3 linked regions of the Drosophila melanogaster genome follow. The protein of the gene in region 1 interacts with the protein of each later gene in a pairwise test. Each region holds a gene or a part of one and is shown in the gene's direction. Other genes may lie near its edges.

Region 1 (8,136 bases):
TCCCAATCGAGTTGAGTCTCAGTCTCAATGCTTGCAGAGAAACTGCTCTAAGCACTGGCACTAGGTGGCCGACAAGGCGTTCCACTCGAACCGCGGATTCTTTGAGTGCGTCACCGGAAGACATTCGGGTTCAACCAGCTTCCAGACGCCGTCCACCTGTTCCACCGTTGCCAGGCTGCAGTAGGGGATCTTGTGGATGACTTGGCGCAATTCGTTCGTGCTGCGTGGAACTCCACCGGTCAGTTGACGGGAACAAGTGTCCAGTGTGGTGGCATGGGCAACAACCAAAATATTTCCAGCTGGAATTAAAGAAAATTGGCATTCGAGTATTTTTTAAAACCACATTTGTATAAATTTACTTGTCTGCTCCAATAGCTGGAGGATAACGTCATGGTTACGTTCATAAAACTGCTCGGTGGACTCCTTTAGGCGAGCAGTTAGCTCAGACGCTGGCTGCACCGGCTCATAATCCAAATCAACGTCGAACTTGGCCTCGGTCAGCTCGTTCTTAGTCAGCCAGTCGGGTACACCGCTCGGATACCAGGCCATCCACTCAAACAGGCCCGGCTCCAGTTTGATTTTTTGCTTGCCCGTAAGCTTCAGCCCCTCAAGCGCACTGGTGCAAGTCTGGATGCAGCGATACGAGGGCGAACAGTAAACATGGTCGATCTGCACTTGAGCCTCCAGCAAAGCTTGACCAATAAGATTGGCCTGATAGACACCCACATTTGTCAGCGGAGAATCATTCTGCCAGCCCTCCGGACTGTTCTTCCGACGAGGCAGCGTCTTCGGCATGTTTAAATCCTTCCTCATGTAATTTCCAAACTCATCGAAGCAATATGGAATCCATGTTCCAAAAGTAAAGTCGACTCGCTCGCCATGCCGCATAATGTAGATCTTTCTGTTCTTGGCATGCGAGGCGTCAAGGGATCCGGGATGCAAGGAGTGGTCCGAGTGTACACTAAGTGTGTCATCTGGACGCGGAGGCTGGGCTGCCGGTGGTTCCACCAAGATCTCGTCCACCGGTTGCTTGGACATGGAGGTGGAGGAAGAAGACATATTGGTCGTTATCTCGATCGTAGGCGTGTTAGGGTTATGCTGATGGGTCAAGTTGTGGCTGTTTAGCAATTGCACTGAGGGTAGTTCCAGGCAGGGCTTCAAAGTCTGTCTCAAATACTTCTCCACGCTCTGTTCGGATTCCTCAAACGAAGAGCCTTCAATTATATCAGGATGTGCTGTGTCTGTTGAGAGAGGCAATGTAACTAACTTAATCCAGGATCACTGTATTCAAAATACGACTCACTCTGACGATCGTCGGGCTCCGTTGATATACTGCGTCCGTCCACAATGTCCAAGTCCTCGGCGGAAGTTAATGATGAAGCTACGCTCTTGGAGAGCTGGACCACACGATGCAGGGTCCAGGCGTCCGATTCTGCGGTGCGTTCGGTGTAATTGACGGGCAAATGACCGGTGCTTCCGGTCAACCAAGATATGCCTTCGGCCCAACCGTCACTGGAACTGTCTACTACCTCGGTATTCAAATAGATGTAATCGCCGATTCGGAGCTCCAGTTCATCCGTCTCGTGCGGGTTGTGTGGATAAACTACCTTTTGAACCTGAAAAGTACAAGATAAAATTATAACTCATCCTCGATCGATTATAAGGAGCTCTAACTTGTTTGGTGGCGAGCCGAGGATCGCGGGAATATAGACGAAGTTCCCAATTGGAAGCGCAGCTGGCGTCTAAGGTCTCCACGAGTGCTTTCAGTGCATTAAACTGTGCCTGCGGGAACTGGTAGGCAAGCGTCAGGTGCAGGCTCTTAACGTGTGGCTCGAGTGAGATGGCTACAGGTAGTTAGAAGCTATTAGTAGCCTTTCGCTAGGCGGAACAAACGATTACTGAATGGAAATGAAGGCGGTGCTGGTTATATGCTTTCGTATCTAACACGGTGAATCGATGTTTTTCGATAAGGAATTATAGTCACTTAAAGTTATCTTTGGGCAAAACCAAACGTCACGGGCTTATCAACTACAGTTCTGGTCTTCTAATAATCAAAGATTTTTTGTATATATAGTGACACTAATCGGTTTTAATAATAAACTGAAATATTTTTCAAACAAATGAAACGGGGTATAAACAAATTAACTATGTAGCTACCAAAAACATCGATCACCTTGCTATCTACAGTTACTACTAATTAACTACAATTAGCAGCGTCATGTTGAATTTCGCCAAAAGGGCGATTAGATTAGTAACTTATCTACCAGTGCAACTAAAGCATGCATAGAGTGATAAGAAAGTGTACTTTTGGGTGAATCAAAAACGATTTTATGCAAACTAATGGCTCTAGCTAATGGCTTACATCGACTGCTGCGCGGAATGCAGCGGGTGCCCGAGGAGACAGCACCGCACCAGGGAAAGCAGGCCACAATGGCGTCCAACTGCTCATAGGTATCGCTAATGACTGTGCAGCATATCCCAGATTATCCAGAAGTGTGCAGGAAGAGAGGAGAACAACATAACCGTGTAAGCCACTCCGAAAAATGGAAAACCATCAACCGAATCGAACAGAACGTGAGAAAGGTAAACCAAAACAACCCAAAGAGAGTGCAACCAACAGAAGGATAATTCGTACTTGAGTTGGACACCTCCTTCACGTACTGCAGGGCCAGTCGTTTCAGATAGTTGGCATCCTCCTCGGCCACGAAAAAACCCATGAAGTTTTGACTCATGTAGGGCTCCAGTTTAAGGGGGCGATCCAACAAGGCGCCCGTCATGTCCACCACCTGTTTGAGCGCCTTGGACAGCTGCAGCGAGCACTCATCGGGGGCCTGTAATTTCGATTAGGTGAATAAATAAAGTCTGGATAATCCAACTTAAGCTCACTTTAAAAAACGAAACCAGGGTTATGTGAGGCACGTAGTTGTGTGCTCCATTCCAACCGCACATTTGGCGCGACTTGGCCCAGAACTCCTCCAGCTGCTGCAGAAACGGACCCGTGGGACAAGCATATATAATATATTCCCTGGGGGCGCACTCGTCCAGGGTGCCATCGTTGACATGTGCCAGCAACCAATCCGAGGCAATCTGGACACCACGATTACCAGTTGAAGCCAAAGCTTTCTCCCTGTGTAGGGGTAAGCAAAAAAATCAATACTCTGATTCTATGAAACAAATCAACATAGTGGGTCACTCGCACGCATAGCCACTATATCTTGGATGGAACCTAGAGCAGCTGGTGACTGCCAATACGCTATGCATAGAAAACTCACGCTCTATGCCTGGGAAACCCCATTTGGAGCAATGTTTGGAGCGGCGTCAGATGCTGCTTAGAGATGCAGATCCTCGTAGGGGTCTGACTCTTACGCGGCGGAAGCGTGGCCATTTCGATTATAGCCTCCTATGTAAGCCCAGGTGACCACCGTTTAGCAGCTTTTGGTTTTTCCTGGCTGTTCAATATTTTTCAGTGATAATTTCAACAAAAATAGGATACAATTCGTTAATTGGCCACAAAAAAGTGTTGGCTAACGACAGCCTAAAGATAGTCAACTTCTACCGATAGCTGTAACACGACTGCACTATCGATAACCAGTACTGACCAGTAGAGATGAGAGCGATTCTCCTAGCGAGACAACAACAAAATTCACTGCGTAATTAATTGAATATTTTTTAGTAAAACCGAAGCGCCCCACAAAGAAACAGCTCTTGGAGTGTTCACCAGTGTTCAAAGTGAGTGCCACTACAAAAGGAATTAGGCGAATAGCAAAAGCAAAGCGTTAAAAAGAGTGTTACGCAGCAGGCGAAAAGTGCATGGAAAATGCCAGTGGAGCCCCACATCAAACATACACACGCACACTCGAAAAACGTACACAACAAAGACCCACGCACACCGACGCAATTAGTGGCGTAGTTGTAATGGTGGAGCACAAAAACAAGTTGTTCATGGTCTAAAAAAGGGGGGCGGGGAGTTTATCTCCCTTTGGAGAGTCCACTTTCGCACTATTTTCGATTGCACCATAGTGACTCCCCCTGCCATCGAGGACTTTGAGGAAATGGGCGTTTTCCCAGGCACTTTTCCTGGTATTCCAGACCCGCTTTATTAGCTCGACCTCGTCTTTGTCTGTACTCAGCGCACTTTCTCCGCTGCGCCAATAGTGATCACGCTTTATCGCCTCGATGCGGGCACCTCCCTCCCCTACTGACCGCCTGTTCACACAGTCCAGCGATCACACACTGCGGATTGCTCAGAGTGACTCACCCGATTTGTTTATCACCCAGCACGGCGTAGCACAACTGCTCGTCATTACAAACATTTTACAGCTGCGAATGGCTTGCACTTCGAGCACTTAGGCAGTCAGGTCCTGGCAGAGATTACGGCTTTCATTGGCATGTAGTTTAGACTCTAGAGGTTTGCGCAGTTCACTTTCATTTATCTTAGGAAAGAAACCATCACACCCCTACACTTCCTAATCGAATTAGAGGAAACCGCAATGGTATTTTTAACACACAATCAATAATATTCTGTGGTTTTCAGCACCAAATACCAAAAGAAATAACCCCGAGTAAGCCAACGCCACAAACTGCATCGAAATGTCCGGACGTAAGAAATCCCTACTGAAAGTCATCATTCTGGGCGACAGCAGTGTGGGCAAGACCTCTCTGATGAATCAGTATGTAAACAAACGCTTCTCCAACCAATACAAAGCCACGATCGGAGCTGATTTCTGCACGAAAGAGGTGGTGGTCAACGACCGAGTGGTCACAATGCAGGTAAGCACTATGAACTTCCAGTAATCCTATTTCAGTGACATAACTCGCAAAATTTCAATAACAGATCTGGGACACTGCTGGTCAGGAACGCTTCCAGTCGCTTGGAGTGGCGTTTTACCGCGGAGCCGACTGCTGCGTGCTTGTCTACGATGTGACGGCGCCCAACTCGTTCAAGAATCTCGACTCCTGGCGCGACGAGTTCCTCATACAGGCCAGTCCACGGGATCCCGATCACTTCCCCTTCGTTGTGTTGGGCAATAAGGTGGATTTGGACAACCGCCAGGTGTCCACGCGTCGAGCGCAGCAATGGTGCCAATCTAAGAACGATATACCCTACTACGAAACGTCCGCCAAGGAGGGCATCAACGTGGAGATGGCGTTTCAAGTTATAGCCAAGAATGCGTTAGAGTTGGAGGCGGAGGTAAGAAATCCTATTTAAATATTGTTTTCCATACTAAATCGAACTTTGTACTTTCACACAGGCTGAAGTTATCAACGATTTCCCCGATCAGATTACCTTGGGCTCGCAAAACAATCGTCCTGGCAATCCTGACAACTGTCAGTGCTAATGTAACAACAACGCAAAATGGATAATTACACAATCTATATTATTAAATAATATTTCCAACATAATAATGAACATGAGAAGCAAGCAACACAAAGGACGATAGAGGAAGGTGTTATATGATTAAGTAAAACAATTTCAGCAAAACAGCATAGTAATTAATTAACTGATAGGATGCAAAGTTCAGATTCAGATCAACATCAGCTGAGTCTTAACGAGCCTCTGGCAAAGGCTTAACCAGTATACCCACTTTCCTACGACCTAAGTAACCGTTCAATGAATAAGTATGCTCTGTGTACTCGTATTTAATAATTCATGTTTCTGACCGACCGCCCGCCTATCTCCCTAGTACTATTTTTGCCATTGTATTAGTCAAATTTTGCACGCAACCGCTGCTGGCTTTTGCAACAGAACAGCAACATTGAGAATACAACATCAGAGTATCTTCTAAACAAACAAAAAATCTTGTGATTGTAAATTTAATAAAAGAATAACTTTTTAAATGTAATTTACAGACATAATTTCCTGCACCATCGAATTGGCTACTCTATTGTAATTGGCTGAGCTCCACAAAACTTCTTTATGCATAACATTCGAGCGTGAATTTGGTTTAGTTATAACGTTACTCGATATATCCTATAACTATGAATAGTATTCCATGTAAAATTGCTCCTTGTTTTTGGTAATACATATATGTAAATTGTGTATATTTCGAATTTATTTTTTTCCAAAGATTCATTTTATGAATTCTCATGCTCTTTGGTTTAATTTAAAGAATAAACTTGAACAATTTACAATAAAAGTCAAATAAGCTTATTTTGATATTTTTATGTGGGCTTAATTTACTTTGTGCCCACTGTAGAACAGATGCAACCAGGTGAACACAGAATATCGCTTATCGATAACTCAGCCCTGTTAATATTTGTCTGCGAAAACAGCTGTGGCTATTGTCTGTTAACTCGCTTAGTCTATTTATTTAACTAAATACCATGTCGAATATTTCAAGTGTGGCACCACCTCCTCCCCCACCACCCATGATAGTCACTCCTAGCACACCTGCTACCACAAAGGAACGTCCAGTTGGGGACAATATAACCACCGATGAGTGCACTTGGGCATGTGAGTATCCTGAGGTGCAGAAAGGATGCTATTTAAGTCGCGTCTGCCAATATACACCACCGAAACACTGTCAATACTACTCCGTAAACAGCATAGTGCAGGTGAGTTAGAAAACAATAAAGATTTCTCAGTTTGTTATTCGATAACATATGTATGTGCACCGAAGGTGGGACCTACTTGTGGCTTAGTGGCCCTCAGCATGTTGCTTGGTGGCAGTCCCACGGCAGATGATCTCCTCAAGGATGCAATCGACCAGGAGTATACCCTTAATGGTGAACTATTTAGTGCTCAGTATTTGTTTGAACTGACCCGGAAGCATATGCCAGGACCTGCTGCGTGTCAGTTGCATGTAGGTCCTTTGGACTGCAAAAAAGTCAAGGAACTTTTAAAGGCCGGAGGCTGCCTACTAGTGCCGTATCCTTTTTCAAAAATATTGCCATTTAAACCCGGGTTGAGTTTGGTATTCCCCTGCATTTAAAGCCGTTGGCGCCTAACAGCACTTGTAAACGGTGAACAGCACACTGTTGTCTGGCAGTGTTGTAAAACTCGCGGTAGTTCAGTGGTGCAACTTATAAACAGCGTTTTGTGTTTCGCAAAATAATATACAATTTTCAGTCAGTAAGTAAACGAGAAGTGCAAATACTTTTATTAAATGGCCGACGAAACAGAGCAGGTATGTGTAAGAATAAAAGCGAAAAGGATATTCTCTATATTCCGTACTTGCAGCTCAGTCAGGTGATTTTGCCGGTAAAGGAGCCTTTGGATCTCATCCGATTGAGTTTAGATGAGAAGGTGTACGTAAAGATGCGCAACGAGCGGGAACTGCGAGGACGTCTTCACGTGAGTTGATGCCTCTTTTTACTGTTGCCCAGCAATCTTTCAATATACACCTTTATCTAGGCCTTTGATCAGCATTTGAACATGGTGCTCGGCGATGCGGAGGAGACGGTGACCACTGTGGAGATCGACGAGGAGACCTATGAGGAGGTGTACAAGACCGCCAAGCGCACTATTCCCATGCTATTCGTTAGAGGCGATGGAGTCATCCTGGTTTCGCCACCCATGCGGGTGGGCTAGCGGGTCTTGTTTAGCTTTAAATCAATTACCTGCATTTATACAAGCTATATCTAAATAGGTTTATAAATGTCTTTTAAAAAAAATAATGTCTTGTTTAATTTTTGCTTACTATATAAATATATAAAAATCTTTTCTATGGGTTGTCCTTAATCAATTGTAATTTCAAAAGCTACGATGCCGATGTAAACCATGCGCCATGCGTTAAAAATGGACACCGAGCCCATTGGGCTTTGATTGTAGGTTATCTGGTGGACACGCAGGACCGGGTGAGTGGAAAAAGCTAGGCATATTAAGACCAATATTAATGTATAAGCCCTTCCGCAGTTTTATGTCCTGGCTCGTCATGGTAAATCTCGTAACCTAGCCGTTTGGCCACTGGACACGCTCAGCCAAAGCAACGAAAATTTAAAAGAGTTTGCCCAACCCAAGGGCTACCCAGATGATGAGTTTCTGCTGCCACCGGGTGGAATCGGTGGATCTCTGGGCCTCAACGAGCGCTGCATTCTTGTCAACGGGCTGCCAAAGCAGGTGATTCATGTTCGCTGGTCCTAAATATATGTGCATCGAAATATTTTCAATAAAAAAAACCTTTTTTAATTACGTAG
Region 2 (8,276 bases), on another chromosome or scaffold:
CGAGTTCTTGTTGTTCTCGACTCCATCTCAATTCATTAATACAATATTTGACAATCGCGGCGTTGACATAAACACATTTCAAACTTGCCTGTTTCAGTCTGGCTCAGTGCATTGGGTTCTTGACTGGTCTGAGTCAGAGAACCAATCGATCGATCGATCAGACTTTTGGCAGATCAGCGTTCAGTAAAGATGCGTTGAGTTGGTCGGCGGTGTCAGTGATCGATGAACTTTTGGCATTTCGGCCCGCCCGGCTATTGACGCGACCGGTGATTAGATCATCGCACCTCGTGCTCATAAGTCATCACCTTTATGATCGCCCCCCATATGAAATTCTTTTCATATTTTGCATATAGAAGGTAGTTCAATAGTCTCGTACTTTAGTATCAACGATATGTTTCTGTTACGTCCTTGAATAACCATCTTCTATGGTCTTCAAACTTAAGTGCGGTAATGATCGCATTCGAAAGCCAACCGTGACCATATCTTCAGATGTCTCTGGAATGTAATTATCATTTGGCCCGAGCAAATCTTCTTTTTTTTTCAGCGCCCATCACAAAAAATTATGTCAGCTTATTGGTTCCGCATTTGAGCATTTGTACCGGCATTTGGCTTTCGACGATCAAAAGAGCTTCAAAAAGAGTTTCCTCGCCCCATCAGTTGGTGCAAATGGGCGTAGTTTGAGGAAAGGGGTTCACATAAATTGTAGCAGTATATATAATATTAAATTCTATAATCTCTAAAAAAGCTTATTCCTGAGAAATATATCTTTGAATGATATCTATTTGGAATAGCCCCGAAAACCATGCCACTGCGATGTCAGTGATTGCCCAGTTGATGGGGGGCAGTGGTGTCGGGAATCACGGCTGTTATTATTGTAACAATTACAACAAAGCTATTGCCAAATGGACCGCGATCCCGGCAAATGGCCAACGGTAGCGCTGTTGGAGTGGAGTATTGGGCGCCCAGCTCCTCCGCCCATAAATCAAATCGCTAAGGGACGCACAAAGGGGCCCAGCTGAGACAATGCCCATCAATGGGCGGCTGGCGTCGAAGAAGTAATCAAAATTGTATTACGAAAACAAACGTTTTTATACATTTCAGGCCGCTTCGTCTCGTTTCGTTTCGTTTGGCTTGGTTTCTTTTGGCTTTTCGGCTTTTGGCCACAACAATGGCAACACGCTGGCATCTCGGAAACTGCACAGTCAGCTAAGAGCGGCAACAAAGCGCCACATATTATTTACTTTAATAGAGTCGGCTCAGTTGGGAAATGTCGCCGCGACCCTTCACCCAAAGCGCCGTATTAATTGTTTATCGTCATTAATGTCGCACAACAAAGTCCAACGGTTTTTCACCATGCGAAATCCGACTTGTATATATATATATAATTTGGATTGGGGAAGCCCGAGTATATAGGCATGTAAATTTCAAACTTAAGTGCTCTGTTATGGTTGCTTTTCAACTTTCCAACTTTCATGAAGAGATCTCAAGATAACATTTTGTATTCATAAATTAAAATCTGATTATTTTTAACAAGTTTTATTAACAATAAATTCTAATTTCACCCGATACACTCATTGTTTTTCAGGTTTGAAATTCTATTTTAAAATTCATGGTGAGTATTGAGTAAAACAACACATCAACACATCATTCCAAAAGAATGCCGCCAATAAACGAAACAACTCTCGCAATTGCTGATTTGCCAAATTGTTTATGTTATTAATGATTTGGTAACCCGTTTCGTATCGATAAAATTGAATAAAATGCAATTTGCTGAATGCACACAGCCCACATGGAAAATGTGTTTTTCGAAAAACAACACAACAAGCCGAAAAAAGTCGAAAAGTCAAACAAATTGGCGGCTGAGACCAGTTTGCATTTTGAATGCTGAACCAGTTGGTTCACAACTACAAGAGCGGCGCATCTTCTGTAAAAACAACAACGTTTTTATTGCAAAAATATTGAAAAATGCGTTGACAACAACAAGCATATACATAAAGTCGCCTTTGTTGGTCACCGTGACCTTAACACAAATTTTGATTTTAGTATTATATCAACTGACTACGTGCATGGGTTTTTTTTCTGGTTCCTTCAACAAGTCGGGATGGTCTTTCATTAATAAAATTCCTTGGCGGCCGAAAGATCTGCATGAGTCATTTGGCCGCAGAATATATGGCGGTTCATTGAAACAAAACCCGAAAATACCCAAAACACAATAACAAGACAGTGACAAGCTGGGGATAGGAAAGATCCAAGCGAGATCAATTAATATTCTGTCTCGTTGACGGTTTCGCTGTGACTTTTTGCTAGCCTGCGTGGGGTTTTTTTTTCCTCATAATCGAGCATTCACACATAAGCCGAGATTTGCGATTTGATCTGAGAAGAAAGTCAAGAATAACCAGAACGGGTTTCAGTGGCTTAATGCGCTGAAGTTTCAAAGATCTGACCTTTTTGCTTGCCTTGGCGCGCACTTTTGCAGATTTTAATGGACACGGTTTGTTTGGCTGGCGGACTTAAAAATTTAATTTATTTTGAATTTAAATGAAATCGGTTAAGAACCGTTTCAAAATGACGTCAGACTTGACCAGTGTACGCTCCAGGGTGACCATGCAGCTTGAGGTTTTCAAAAAGTATTGTCTATCGATAACTTGTGAAGAACGCGGGCTTCTTTAAATTATTACATACAATTTAATTTTACTACTTTAAATTTATAACATTAAACTAGAATAAAACTATATACGTTTTGTGAAACATGTTCTATGCAAACATTTACAATCGCATTTTCCTAACTGCACTAAATTATTACTAGTATATTTTTCTTTGTTGTTTTGGGGCTGGCATACGGTCACACTTTGGGGATGATTTCTTCAATGTTAATTTCTTTAGACCCTCGGAAAACCACAACAAAAGGTGCGGATCGACATCCAAATGAGCTCCCTGTTCCGCAGCCTGAACCATTTTTCTTCGAAACGGGAGAATGTCGTGAAGGAGGCGCTCATAAATACACTGAACGAAAATGCGCGTGAGATAGAGTTCGAGGTGAAACAGAAGAGTTTGGGTGAGTTCTGGGTACTCCCCCGGAAATGGCCATCCATTTATATACATTCACGTATTGCAGAGGTCCTGGGAGTATGTGAGCAGACCAGTGCCCTGTGCACCACCCTGGAGGCCCTGTTCCTGCACGGGCTGAAGGACTCCTTCCTGTCCGCCACCTTCAATGTCATCGCTGGCGATGTGGAACGCAGGCCCGAGCCCAGCTTCTGGGCGCCCTGCATGGTCTTTATGCACAAGCAGGTGATCGAGCAGGTGCAGGGTCTCAGCCAGATCACCTCAGAGACGGGGCAGTGCCGCGCCTGGGTGCGCCAGTCGCTTAACGAGTCTGTGTTCTCCTCCTATCTGAACAACATGCGCAAGAACGGATCGGCCCTGTCGCAGTACTACAAGCGAAACGCCCTTATGCGGGACTCCGAGGGTCTGGAGACGGCCGCCAAGATTATGGAGAGCTTGGAGGCCTATGTGCAATTCGATCTGCCAGTGAACTCCAGCCTGTTGAACCACTGGCCCGACTACTCCCTGCAGCTATCTGATCTCTGGACACCTGCTCTCAAGTCCTGCCCGGTATGATCTTTTATCCTGCCAAGAATGTTCGGCTTAGACTTATCGTATAGTTCAACAATCCAAAATTCCTATGATAAGAGGGCCTTTCCTGGTCTTTATCGCTACAAGTGGACTAATTTGTGTATACCATTGCAGATTAGCAGCGGAGTTGATGTGGCCAGCTCGCTTGGATCCGATATCATTGCCATACCGACGCCACAGCCCCTGCAGACCAATGAACTGTTCTCGGAGTCCATTTCGAATAGCCCCTTTGGAAGGAATAGCAACTTTGGTGTTCCCGAACTCAGCCAGCGAGAGAACCTGGACCTGCTGATACAAAAGTTTGATGAAATGGATGTGATTAACGAGGAGCAAACAGGTGGCGATAAAGCGGAAACGAATGAAACAGCAGAGCAGGAAGCTCCATCTGGCAGTAAGACGAGGTCGAGGAAAAAATCCAATCGTCAAATGGACAGCAGCTCCTTCGCCGATCTGGATCTTGAAGCACCTTCTCTTCTGCCCCAGGGCAGTAATTCTTTGTCCAATCTAATGCAAACCTCATGGTCTGGTGACTTGGAAGCAACGCCTACATCACCCACAGAGGAACTGACAGGATCTAGGTTTTTCCAGCGATCTGTGAGCGTCAGTAGTTCAGTCAGTCTGCGTTCTCCAACTACGGACAGATGCAGCTACAATGCTCTGTTGCGGAAACACGAAAGCAACCGGGAAAGTGGAGCCGGATGGTCGGAGATCTGGGAGAAGTTTCGGGCCAGTGCCTCCAACCTCAATGTGGCTCAGCCTCAGCGAGATACCGATCCGCCCATTTCAGAAGACTTGAGTGATCTGCAGTCACTGGACGTAAGTTGGTTGAGAACTAAGATTATTATAAATTAAATGCTATCTTATTATAGACCAACTCGGAGTTTGAGCTGCTTACCTCAGAGTTTGACATGGTGGAGCTGCAGCAAATGGTGGCCCAGCTGTGTCAACTAGCTCGAGAGCCGGGTCTGGATGCCCAGGGATTCCTGTGCAAGAGCTGTCAGCATCCGCTGGGCATTGGCTACTCCAACTTTCAGTGAGATCATCCGTTTGTCCATTATTAATCCCACTTACATTTGTATCTACCCTTAGAGTTTGCGCCTTTAGTGGCAGCTACTACTGCAATAGCTGCATGGATGTTGAGATGCAATTGATACCCGCTCGCATCATTTACAATTGGGATTTCCGAAAGTACAGCGTCAGCAAGCGGGCAGCAACTTTCCTTGCCGAATTCCGATCGCATCCATTCCTGGACATGCAGTTGCTTAACCCGAGAATATATTTTGCTTCCGATGCCATGGCTGAATTGCAATCCCTGCGGATCCGACTAAACTTCATTAGGGCCTATTTGTATACCTGTGCTCCGAGCAGCATAGAGCTTCTCCAGAATCAGTTTGCTGGCAGGGAGTACCTTTACGAGCACATTCATCTGTACTCCATAGCAGATTTGGCTCTTATTCAGCGAGGTGTGCTGTGTCAGCAGCTGCAGAAAGCCTTCAAATTGGGGGAAGCGCATGTCTTGAAGTGCAGACTGTGCCACCTAAAAGGATTCATCTGCGAGATATGCCAGAGTCCAAGGGTGCTGTATCCCTTTCACATCAGCACCACATTCAGAGTGAGTCGAACTATCAAGAAATTGCAAGATGACAGATATTTTCATACTGGCGCTCACACATCTTTTTACAGTGTCTGGCCTGTGGAGCTGTGTTCCACGCTGAGTGTTTGAATGAGAAGCAGCCATGTCCCAAATGTGAACGAATACGTAAGCGCGAGGATCAGGGCCTCCAGGAGGCGGTGCAATGTCTTAAACAGAAGAATGAGGTTGCCTAAAATCGGCCATATTTAGATTTTAGGTTGAACAAGTGCGATTTGTTATTACACGTAACCAAGAAAAGGCTTTACTTTACATTTAAGCTAGGGTTAAGATAAAAATTGTTATGGCTTAAAAGCATTTACACTTACTCAAATATATAGCATACATAACATGGCTTTGCAAAAATGGTTACCAATTTTGTTGACTCAATGAAACCACTCAGTTGCTCAGTTTTTGAATGACTTCGTAATTTTATTTATAACTGCAATGATTTTGATTCGGAATAAAATGTTATGCAATTGCTGAATAATACTTCTAATGACACCAAGTCCAACAACAATGATTGAGTTAATAATAAGGATAATAATATAAATATGCATTATGTTCACTTCCAATAATTATCGCCCAATAAGGAGTTTAACAAACGTTTACCGAAAACCACAGATGATAGATAATACCTAAATACTTTCGAGATTATCACACCAACTCTCGTATTGCACATTGAACTAAAGAATTTTGAAATGGAATGTGGCGAGTTTCGTTGAAATGCCCTCGGTTGTGCTTCAGTATTTCATTGTTAACATATTTCTCTTGTTTGTGTGTGTGTATTGCTCTAGGGGATTAAGTCGTACAATAGTCGATTCTAAATATCGTATGTATATAATTACATTAATTATTTGTTGCTGTTGGGTTTTAACATGTTCAGTCTAGTAAGATATTTATGCAAAGAGGCGCGCTCCTAAATGTACATACAATCATTTACACCCGCCTATAAAAGGTATAGATGGAGCTGGGTAATTAATTTCACTAACTTGGTGCTAATTCTATATACAAATTTTATGTGCGGCTTATTTTGTTCTCTGCTTTAGCCATTTATTAAGTGCAGCCTGGGAAGACGCGAACGAATTATCGGTGATTTTTTAGCATGGGCCTGCCCTTTCTTCAGGTTCTCTATTGGGTCTTTTCAGTGTGCCATGGTATTTGGTTTATTGCACTTTTCATTGACTTTTGAACTTTTGCCTGTGGCACAAAACACTCCCGCTTACAACATACATCAACAACGAGCCACAAACACACACTCCACATGCACACACTTATGTATATACAGATCAAGCCCTAAGTTCAGTAGACGGTGGAGTTCCGCGGACCGATTCCAGGTGGCTGGGACTGTGGCCGTATGCTGGTGGAGCCACTGGAACCACCTGCCGCTCCGCCGTAAAGGAAACTTGATTGCCGGATGACTGATACCGTGGCGGCTGCCACGCCAGCTTGAGGAGGTGGAGCCGGTGCCCGATGCTTTTTCAGTGGAGCGTGCGCCGGCTTTAGCACTGGAGCTAATCCTCCTCCGAACCCGCCAGGATTAGGATTCGAGGTCGTATTATTGTTGCTTGCCACCGCGTTGTTGTTGTTGTTCACGCTGCTGTTTCCGGGTGCTGTTTGCGGAAGAATCGGAGTAGCGGGGAGAAAGATATATGTACAAACATGGATAGATATATAAAATAGCGAAGACTAACTAAGCCAAAAGGAGCTGCTATGATGCAAGCGAAAACGAAATACAAATGGTAAGAACACTTTTAGTGCAATATGCGGCAGAAGTGACAATGTGCACAATGTGCCTTGAAATTCTGAAATAAAGCTACAAAAATATTTCATAAAAATCAAAATTATATAGATTGAAGAATATTTTTGAAGTAATAATCTTCTGAAACGGACAAATGAATTTGAACCAATGACCAAGCGAAGAAATCTGCCGCCGAGGCAGCCCAAAAACTGGAGAAAACTTAAACACAAAATGAAACAAATGAAATATGTTCATGTATTTTATCCAAATGAATTTTGGTTTATTGTTTCTTCAAAAGATAACTTCGAAACTAAAACAAACAATTACTCGTAATGTGCCTGTTGCATACTAAAAATTATTCATCGGGTATAATATATATGCATATATATAGAGACGTTGGTAGGTACAATATATATAAAATGATAGCCGGGTACAAAAGTAAAGGCATGCGCTACATGTAGGAGAAATGTAAATGGGGGCGCAGGGAAATACAATGCAATATGGGTTGGCTTCTGTTTACATATACACGTACATATAAAGTTATAGTATAGATTGGGTAAAAATATAACTATGCGTAATAATATTGTGTGTGCTTAGTGGTAATATCGCGAGGGGAAGCTTCCATAGTCCTTCCCTTTTGAAATGTAACAAAATATAACATTAAAATTTATAAAATATATAATGTTTGGATAAAGCTATTCAACTTTAGTGTTATGCAATCAATATACAAAATAACATTCCTCCGCTGCGCTTTACGCAATCATTTCATTGCTTGTTAACAGTAAAATAAACAACAATAATTAAAAAGATTACTAAACTCTGCGGGATTTAACATATATATGTGTGTGCTGTGGATTGTAAGCCTGGGCTTTCCCTTCCTATACAATAATAATCTATACTGGTAGTAATACACTTTTAAAATTAAAATTATTTAGATATACGAATCGTTGTATAGATCGTTCGAGTTCGAAACTAAAATGCCGGAGCGTGTGCCTTAAGAGAAAACTAATTATATAACAGCATTCCGTGTGTGTGTGTGTGTGTGTGGTGTGTATATAACAATAATCGCAGTTACAATGCATCTAAATGTTTATGTACTTAAATAAAACACTCACAAAACAAACACACTCGCTCACACACTCGACTACATACCATTGGTGGCCTTAAACGTGCGACTAGGATAGACTTTTTGTATATTTAGAAACGGCGGCGGCTTGGGGAATTCAGTGACGTTGTGGAATCGCTTCCCGAACTTGGTCTCCAAGTCGT
Region 3 (7,696 bases), on another chromosome or scaffold:
ACTAGTTAACAAATGAAGATTTACTGGTATAGCGGAAAGTTTAGAGAATACATTTGGAAACTACTGTTCTTTTTTAAGAACAACAGGACTCTTAAGAAAATACTTCAGGGGAAACTCCCTAAAATTTTAAGCACGAAAATATCGATAGAAAACATCGGCTGTTCCTTCAATTTGTTGTTATTGAAATTTTTGTTTGCCATCGCTAAGCAAAACTCAAATAAAATTAAGTTGATATATTTATAAAGTGTATTCCCACTCTCTAAGGTGCGAGATGTCTGAAAACGGGGACGTGGAGGCGGCACCAGAGGATTCCAAGGAAGTCGTTCCGGAGTCCGGCAAAGATGAGCCTGAAACTAAGCCGCTGAAAATGTCGTTTGCAGATTGGAAGAAATGCAAGGATGCACTGAAACCGGATACCAAAAGCGGACTACAACGGAGCAACAATAACAATAGTAACAACAACAACAATAACAACAACGGCAACGGACGTAAACATTGGTCTTCGAATAGCAACAATGCCTTTCATGGAGGCGGAGGTCCGCAAAGCTACCAGGACAGGAACTATCCTCCGATGAATCGACCGCCTCCACTTCCTATGCAGCTGATGAACATGGGCTTTGGAGGCAATTTTGGGCCTGGACCCGGACAATGCGGTCCCCCCATGGGGCCAATGGGACCAGGAGGACCTCGCGGTCCCATAAGCAATATGGGTCCCTGTGGTCCCATGAGCAGTATGGGCCCCGGTGGTCCAGTGGGCTTTGGAGGACCACGTGGTTCTGGGCCCCGCCGGAATCACAATCACCGACCTCTGCAGCCGCCTCCGTTCTGGGAGGACATGATGTCGCCACAACATAGACCACCACCAATCCAACCGCCCATGCCCAAGTGCCCCAGCTTGTGGAATCTGGTACCCAAGGAGCAGGGAGCACAAAACAATCGCAGCAATCCAAACCAGAATAACAAGAAATTCAAGGTAAACCATCGCGGCAACAGTGACAAAGATACGAGGCTTATGCCTCCGCCCCCACCGCCAAGCAATGGCAACAATTCGCCGTCAAACGGGGAAGCGCAGCCCTCCAAGAAGCCCAAGCGCTGCGGCACATTTGTCCAGGTCAATGGCCAATGGATACAGAAGCCAGAGGCACCACCGCCGCTCGAGGATGCACCGCCTGGTACGAAGGAGGAGCGCCAGCGCCAGTGGAAGGAGTACCGTATGGCCATGAAGCCCTTTAAAAACCGTGAGTTCCACAACTGGAAGCGAACGGTGCAGCGTTTGGGGAAGCTGCCGCGCGACCAGCTGGACGAGCAGCAACTGGAACGACTACAGAAGGCCGAGGAGTATATAGTTGCGCACAAGGCGATGCTGACGGTGAAGCATGCAGAGCGCTGGGTGGAGCAGGACAAGAATGAAAAGGGCCAAGTGTTCGTGCGCAAGTCATCCAGCATCGGCTCGTGGGACATGTCCAAGGAGAGGCCGCCGAATGGTTTTGCGTCGATGCATGATTTCAAGAAGCAGCAAATGGATACGTTCTTCGGTCCCGGCCGTGCCATCAAAGGCGGTACGGATCTCTCCATCATTGGTACCTCAGCGCCGCCTCCGCCGCCACCTGACACCCCACCACAGATTACCAACTACTGGCCCTCTGGAAGTTCCAACAACACGGGGTCCAACTCCAATCCCTCGTATTTCAGCCACTACAGCAACAACTTTGTCAAGGGTGCCACTCTGCTGCCGCCCTAGAATAGCTATCCGAAACTAACCCAGGTCGTGGGTTTTCTTAAACACTATCAAATAGCATGGCACATGCACAAAGTTCTGCAATTTTGCAACCATATTTAGCAATTTCTTCTTCATCGTGGATTGACGGCCATTGGCATTTGTATTAAGATAAATGTAACAAAATCAACTTGACACTACTACTTGGCTATTACTTAGTTTTGCGACTGCGCCGCGGCTGGGATTCGTCCAGAGGCGGAAGGCCAAGGAGTTGGCGTCGTTCCCGCTTGCCACGCAGTATGGCTTCCTTGAAGAGGTTGCAATAGAGCTCCACTGCGGCCGGCGAGTCATCGTTGCCGGGCACCGGATAGGTGATCAGGTTGGGATTGCAATTGCTGTCCACTATGCCAATCGTTGGTATGGCCATTTTGGCGGCGTCCCGAACCGCCGTGTGCTGAGCCATAACGTTGTTTTGAGTGTTGAGGAAAATGCAAAGATCGGGCAGCCTGGTGACCGCATCGAATTGCACATTGGCATTGGTAAAGATGCCGCCGCGCCAAAAGCGAGTGTGCGAGAATTCACCGGCCTCCTGGGCCTTTCGCTCCACGAGATGTGAGTTCATGGCGTTGCGGTTGAAGAACAGAATGATGCCATCTCGGAAGGCAATGTGTGCGGCAAAGTTGAGGGCATCGCGCAGATGTGATGCCGTCTTGTCCAGATCGAAGATCAGATGACCTAATCGACTGCCGAACAAGTACGGACGCATTCGGTCGTCCAGGGAGCCCTCCTTGTGGCCATAGTGCACTCGGGCATTGAAGAGGTCGCGCACGGTGAACAGGTTGTGCACTTGGAAGTAGTCCGGATGCTTCAGAATCCGCTGTTCCACCAGGGCGATGTCCTCCGGTTCCGTTTCCACCGATTGCTCCGGCTGTGTGCTCTGCAGGCGTCGTGGCAGACCGCACATCTGACCAAAGCGGGGTACTACCAAGGGAAAGCATGTATAATTTGGTTTCCTTGATGTTTTAATTGATTACTTACGGTTGGCAAACGATTTTCTCAACATTTTGGAGCGGCTCGTGTTTTCATAACCTATGTTCTTCTTCTTTTCCGTCGATTTTGGTAAACAGCTGGTGGGTAGTGTTGGATAGAAGTGTTTCTATAAGAGGTCTTAAAACAAAAACAAAATAACAGATATAAAAATTTAATTATAATTATTAAGATAAAGTAATTCAAAATCCATATATCAAATTAACTTATTTTTCATAACATTTAAGAATGAATAAGCCTATCTTATGGTGTGTTTTCCGGAACACCCTTTATTTCACCTTCTGCTTCGGACAGTGTTGGGAAATCCATTCCAGCTGTAATGATTTAGTTGTAAATTTATGATATTGCTAAATATTGGCAAACTGCAATGTTCCAGCGACTGAAATAGTTAAACGAATTCGAAATGGAAGTAGAGCAGACGTCAGTCAGGTCGGACACGAACTCCACCTGCGAGTATCTAGACGCAGAGGGCGATCCGGAGTCCCCAAATCTCTATCAAGAGGCGGATCCCGACCAGGAGGCCGAGCAACAAAACCATAGTATTATCTCTGAGCTAAGAGATGGCCTGGGCACCATGCGAGATAACAGTGCCCTCAGTCCGGAGCCGGGGCAGGAGAACAAGGGACTGGCTGCCTCTGTGGAGTCTCTGGCATTGAGCACCTCGACCAGCGCCAAAACAGAGGACTCCATTGGCGGGGGACTGGAGGAGGAATACGATTACCAGCACGACAGTCTGTGGCAGGGCCAAAAGAAACACATCTTCATACTAAGCGAGGCGGGAAAGCCAATCTTCTCGCTACACGGCAATGAGGATAAACTGGCCACGCTTTTCGGTGTCATTCAGGCACTGGTAAGCTTCGTCCAAATGGGCCAGGATGCTATTACCTCCATTCATGCGGGCGGCATTAAGTTCGCTTTCATGCAACGCAGCTCGCTCATCCTGGTGGCTGCCAGCAGGAGCAACATGAGTGTGCAGCAGCTGCAGCTTCAACTGGGGTGAGTCAATTATAACGCACCTGATAGCAATGCTAACTAATGGGAACTTCCCATTCTTTACCAGGGATGTCTACAATCAAATATTGTCCATTCTGACGTATTCACACATGACGAAAATCTTTGAGAGGCGCAAGAACTTTGATCTGAGGAGACTGCTCTCCGGCAGCGAACGATTGTTCTACAATCTGTTGGCGAACGACAGTAGTAGTGCCAAGGGTAAGGATATCTAAGCATATCCAAATTGCTTAATTTCTCAACGACTTCTTTTAGTGTCCAACAACATCTTCACATTTTTGACCAACTCAATTCGCGTCTTCCCATTGCCCACAACGATACGATCGCAAATCACCAGCGCCATTCAGAGCAACTGCTCCAAGATCAAGAACCTGGTGTTTGCCGTGCTAATTGCCAATAACAAACTGATAGCATTGGTGCGCATGAAGAAGTACTCCATCCATCCGGCTGATTTGCGTCTGATCTTCAACCTGGTAGAGTGCTCCGAGTCCTTCAAGAGCTCCGAGAACTGGTCACCAATTTGCCTGCCCAAGTTCGACATGAATGGGTATCTGCATGCGCATGTCTCGTACCTGGCGGATGATTGCCAGGCCTGTTTGCTCCTGCTGTCCGTGGACAGAGATGCCTTTTTCACGCTGGCAGAGGCCAAGGCAAAGATCACGGAGAAGCTACGCAAAAGCCACTGCTTGGAAGCCATCAACGAGGAGCTGCAGCAGCCGTTCAATGCGAAACTCTACCAACAGGTTGTGGGAATCCCCGAGCTGCGGCACTTTCTTTACAAGCCCAAGAGCACAGCTCAACTGCTGTGTCCCATGCTCAGGCATCCGTACAAATCTCTGACGGAGCTGGAGCGCCTGGAGGCCATCTACTGCGACTTGCTGCATCGCATCCACAACAGTAGTCGCCCGCTGAAGCTTATCTACGAGATGAAGGAGCGCGAGGTGGTCCTGGCCTGGGCAACCGGAACCTACGAACTGTACGCCATATTCGAGCCGGTTGTGGACAAAGCCACTGTGATCAAGTACGTGGACAAGCTGATCAAGTGGATCGAGAAGGAGTACGACGTGTACTTTATACGAAACCATGCCACATTCTAAGCTTTAGCGCGCTTCGCTAGGGCATTGTGAGATATATGACTATTTTTTTATTGCTCCTCTGCCAATCGAACCAGGACAAAGTTGTTGTGCTGCAGTTGTGACGGCGTTTGTTTAACTGAACCTAGTATACCAGAATCACGCATGTACATTTGTAATTTAAAACTTTAAGTAAATTCTAAAACTTTATAGATAGTTTATCTCTTAGTGGATCTATAGAAAACTGAGTTCTGTCGAAAGGTTCGAGTCACCGCTAGCGCAGCATATCCTTTAAGTTCGGACTCAAACCAAACCGGTTATCTTCGGGGATGGACTTTCGAGAGCGAAAGGAATCGCAGAGAGAGCTTTTGCGGAATCAACAACTTAACGCGCGCACTCGCATCGGCGACCCAATCGCAAGGATTACGATGTGACTGGTGCTGGCCGACCGCTCGGAGAACACAATTGAGTACAGGACACAAACGCGAACGCACACGCTTCGATTGTGGGCGCTGCCACCGGAAATCCAAAGTTGAACCAGTGCCTGACCGAAAAGAATTACAAAATAATTGCTAAAACCGATGAGTATGTGAAAAATGTGGAAAATTGCGTGGTGCTAGATAGAAAATGCCCAGCATAAAATGGAAAATTACGATGCAAACGCGGCGTTTTTTGTTTCCACCTATTTAAGTTGCTCGAAACGGAGCAGCTTTTCAACATGCGCCACGCATTTTTTGGGTGTTAAATGCTCGTGTATCTGTCGGTTTTTGCGCGCTTAGCTCTGCGGCGGCATTAATACACATACAAACATGGGCCAGGACGAAATCCTGCCAGGATATATGCCAGAGTGCATGTGTGTGTGTGTGTATGTGTGTGTCTGTGTGTGTTTGTGTGTGTGAGACGCCGCTCCGTTAGTTTTGCGCGCGTGTTGGTCTACCCGCTTTCATCGTGCAAATCGTTTAATTTATGAGCAAAATGAATATTTTTATACGCATTTCTCGTGCATTCCCCGTTTCGTATTTCTTTCGTTTTCGAATCCTCGTTAATTTGCCGTTCGTCTTTCGAGCCAAATTCGTAGTCCTGAATTAACAATCGGCGGCGCCAGGAGCAGCAGCAACAACAAGGAGTTCCAAAGTTTCACCTTTCCCCACACAAACACCCATACACCCATACCCATACAGACACACACAGACACACACACACACACACAGGGACACATTGGAGGCCACAGGATGTCTTTTTGTGTATCCCAGAGTTATTTTGAAAGCAGCGCGTGTGGCAGAAAGAAGGACTAAATGAAAAAGTAGAGTGGCAGGAGTAGGTGCATGCGAGTGGAGCGAAGGATTCTATTTAAGTCGGAAAAAGTTTTAGCGCCTTGGACTTTTCATGGCTCTTCTCTCGGCCTCCAAACTCCTTGGCTTTAATCAACTTTCCTGGCAGAGCACAGCAAATGTGGCCAAATTTCATAATTGGCAGCATAAAAAGTTGATTGCGGAACTTGAGAAAATATTTCAAAAATATTTCACGGCTTTATTGCAAAATGTTTTAAAAATTTTAGCCAAATTAGAAACTATGAAGATTTTCTTAAAGAATTTCGTATTATCAAAGTACTCTATGATTATTATACAAAAACTTTTTAAATACAATAAGTATTTGCTTATTTTTCTTCTAGTTCCGCACAATCTTGAGCAACTCTTGTATTTTTCTTCTGCCAATTCAAATTGTTGTTGCAAAAAGTTTTCGCAAACTCTCAGATAAATTGCAATCCTTAAACTTTTGATTGTATACTTTCATCGGCAGCGGGGCAGTAAAAGTATCTAGATATTGATTTCATAATTTAAGCGCTCGAACGTGCAGGTTAATTTATTATTTATGCCAGCATCAGGCTATCAAGTTATTTATGATTTTTCTTAAGAATGAATATTGTGTAAGATAATTGTCTTACTTTAATATATTTAAAACAAAGTTTTCCGGATTCAATTCGCCAACCACTCGCCATTCAGATGAAACCCCGAAGCGAAATTCAATCTAAACCAAATCAATACTGAAAATCAACAAATGAAAATATCAAAAACCCTGTGCATAAAAACCGCGTAAAGCCAAACTGCAACCAACCAACCAACAAAATCAACAACAATTTCTGGAATTAATTTCATTTGCCGCGCGCGTCCATAAAAATCTACATAGAAAGCGTCACAAAATAAATACACCAGCCAGCCAGCCAGCGAGGAAAGTGAATTGGTTAGCCATGGAGAAGGCGTAATGGCCATCTGCTGACCCAGGACCCATAACTTTAGGTTAGTATGTCGTCGCCGTCTTACTGACTTTGCACTCCACGAAATGGGGGAACAACCCGATTTCCATTGCCTTCGAGCTTCCTTTTCCTCGACGTTTTTCCATTTTACTTCTAGCCGCTTTTTTATCTACTTAGTACTAGTGGGTTTCTTTTTTTTTTGGGGCATGCTAGACTCATTAGAATCCAATAAATGTGGCAATGATAACTTTGTTACAACAGCATATTGCACTAAGTTTGTATAACAACTAGAGTAATGAATTTACACAGAGTAATGAATTTATATCATCTATCTTAAATTCGATTGTATACAAATGAAAGTAAATACAGGGTATCTTGCATTTGCAACGCTTTATTGCCGCTTTCCTTTGTTGAGATGCGTTGTTCGCTCGTTTTGTTTATCCTTTGGCCCCGATCAAATAGGCATCATTTGCCTGGCGGCATCTCGGATTGGTAGGGAAAAAGGTTCGCGACCGCATCAGACGCTTCGCCGTGAATCCGCATGCTCCGCATCCTTGGCATCCTCCGCGCCCTTGGCATCCCCATCCGCTTCCA

Evidence for each region. Proteins that work in one complex are often made in the same cells at the same time.
Region 2: the proteins of Rab7 (region 1) and Plekhm1 interact in a two-hybrid assay, tested with the Drosophila melanogaster proteins (one study listed by BioGRID).
Region 3: the proteins of Rab7 (region 1) and Mon1 interact in a two-hybrid assay, tested with the Drosophila melanogaster proteins (one study listed by BioGRID).

The regions. Positions count from the first base shown.
Region 1 is NT_033777.3:23,989,412-23,997,547, forward strand, and holds Rab7 (Rab7), read left to right. Parts: upstream 1-3,596; 5' UTR 3,597-3,729; intron 3,730-3,767; exon of another isoform or gene 3,768-3,865; intron 3,866-4,321; exon of another isoform or gene 4,322-4,408; intron 4,409-4,534; 5' UTR 4,535-4,590; coding exon 4,591-4,770; intron 4,771-4,834; coding exon 4,835-5,191; intron 5,192-5,252; coding exon 5,253-5,339; 3' UTR 5,340-6,041; downstream 6,042-8,136. Other genes in the region: Epp (ecdysteroid phosphate phosphatase), read right to left, coding at 61-299, 360-1,241, 1,304-1,616, 1,675-1,844, 2,363-2,464, 2,636-2,831, 2,887-3,127, 3,273-3,385; CG33108 (uncharacterized protein), read left to right, coding at 6,325-6,555, 6,621-6,868, 7,701-7,797, 7,856-8,083; LSm3 (uncharacterized protein), read left to right, coding at 7,107-7,127, 7,181-7,294, 7,355-7,531. UniProt on the Drosophila melanogaster protein: Small GTPase which cycles between active GTP-bound and inactive GDP-bound states. In its active state, binds to a variety of effector proteins playing a key role in the regulation of endo-lysosomal trafficking.
Region 2 is NT_033778.4:22,100,327-22,108,602, forward strand, and holds Plekhm1 (pleckstrin homology and RUN domain containing M1), read left to right. Parts: upstream 1-2,850; 5' UTR 2,851-2,925; coding exon 2,926-3,055; intron 3,056-3,115; coding exon 3,116-3,615; intron 3,616-3,750; coding exon 3,751-4,452; intron 4,453-4,505; coding exon 4,506-4,669; intron 4,670-4,725; coding exon 4,726-5,248; intron 5,249-5,319; coding exon 5,320-5,463; 3' UTR 5,464-5,637; downstream 5,638-8,276. Other genes in the region: Vrp1 (verprolin 1), read right to left, coding at 6,569-6,879, 8,160-8,276.
Region 3 is NT_033779.5:4,847,584-4,855,279, forward strand, and holds Mon1 (monensin sensitivity 1), read left to right. Parts: upstream 1-3,057; 5' UTR 3,058-3,167; coding exon 3,168-3,760; intron 3,761-3,824; coding exon 3,825-3,976; intron 3,977-4,030; coding exon 4,031-4,872; 3' UTR 4,873-5,057; downstream 5,058-7,696. Other genes in the region: CG11927 (uncharacterized protein), read left to right, coding at 272-1,741; mRpS2 (mitochondrial ribosomal protein S2), read right to left, coding at 1,929-2,698, 2,756-2,780. UniProt on the Drosophila melanogaster protein: Part of the Mon1-Ccz1 guanyl-nucleotide exchange factor complex specific for Rab7 that promotes the exchange of GDP to GTP, converting Rab7 from an inactive GDP-bound form into an active GTP-bound form.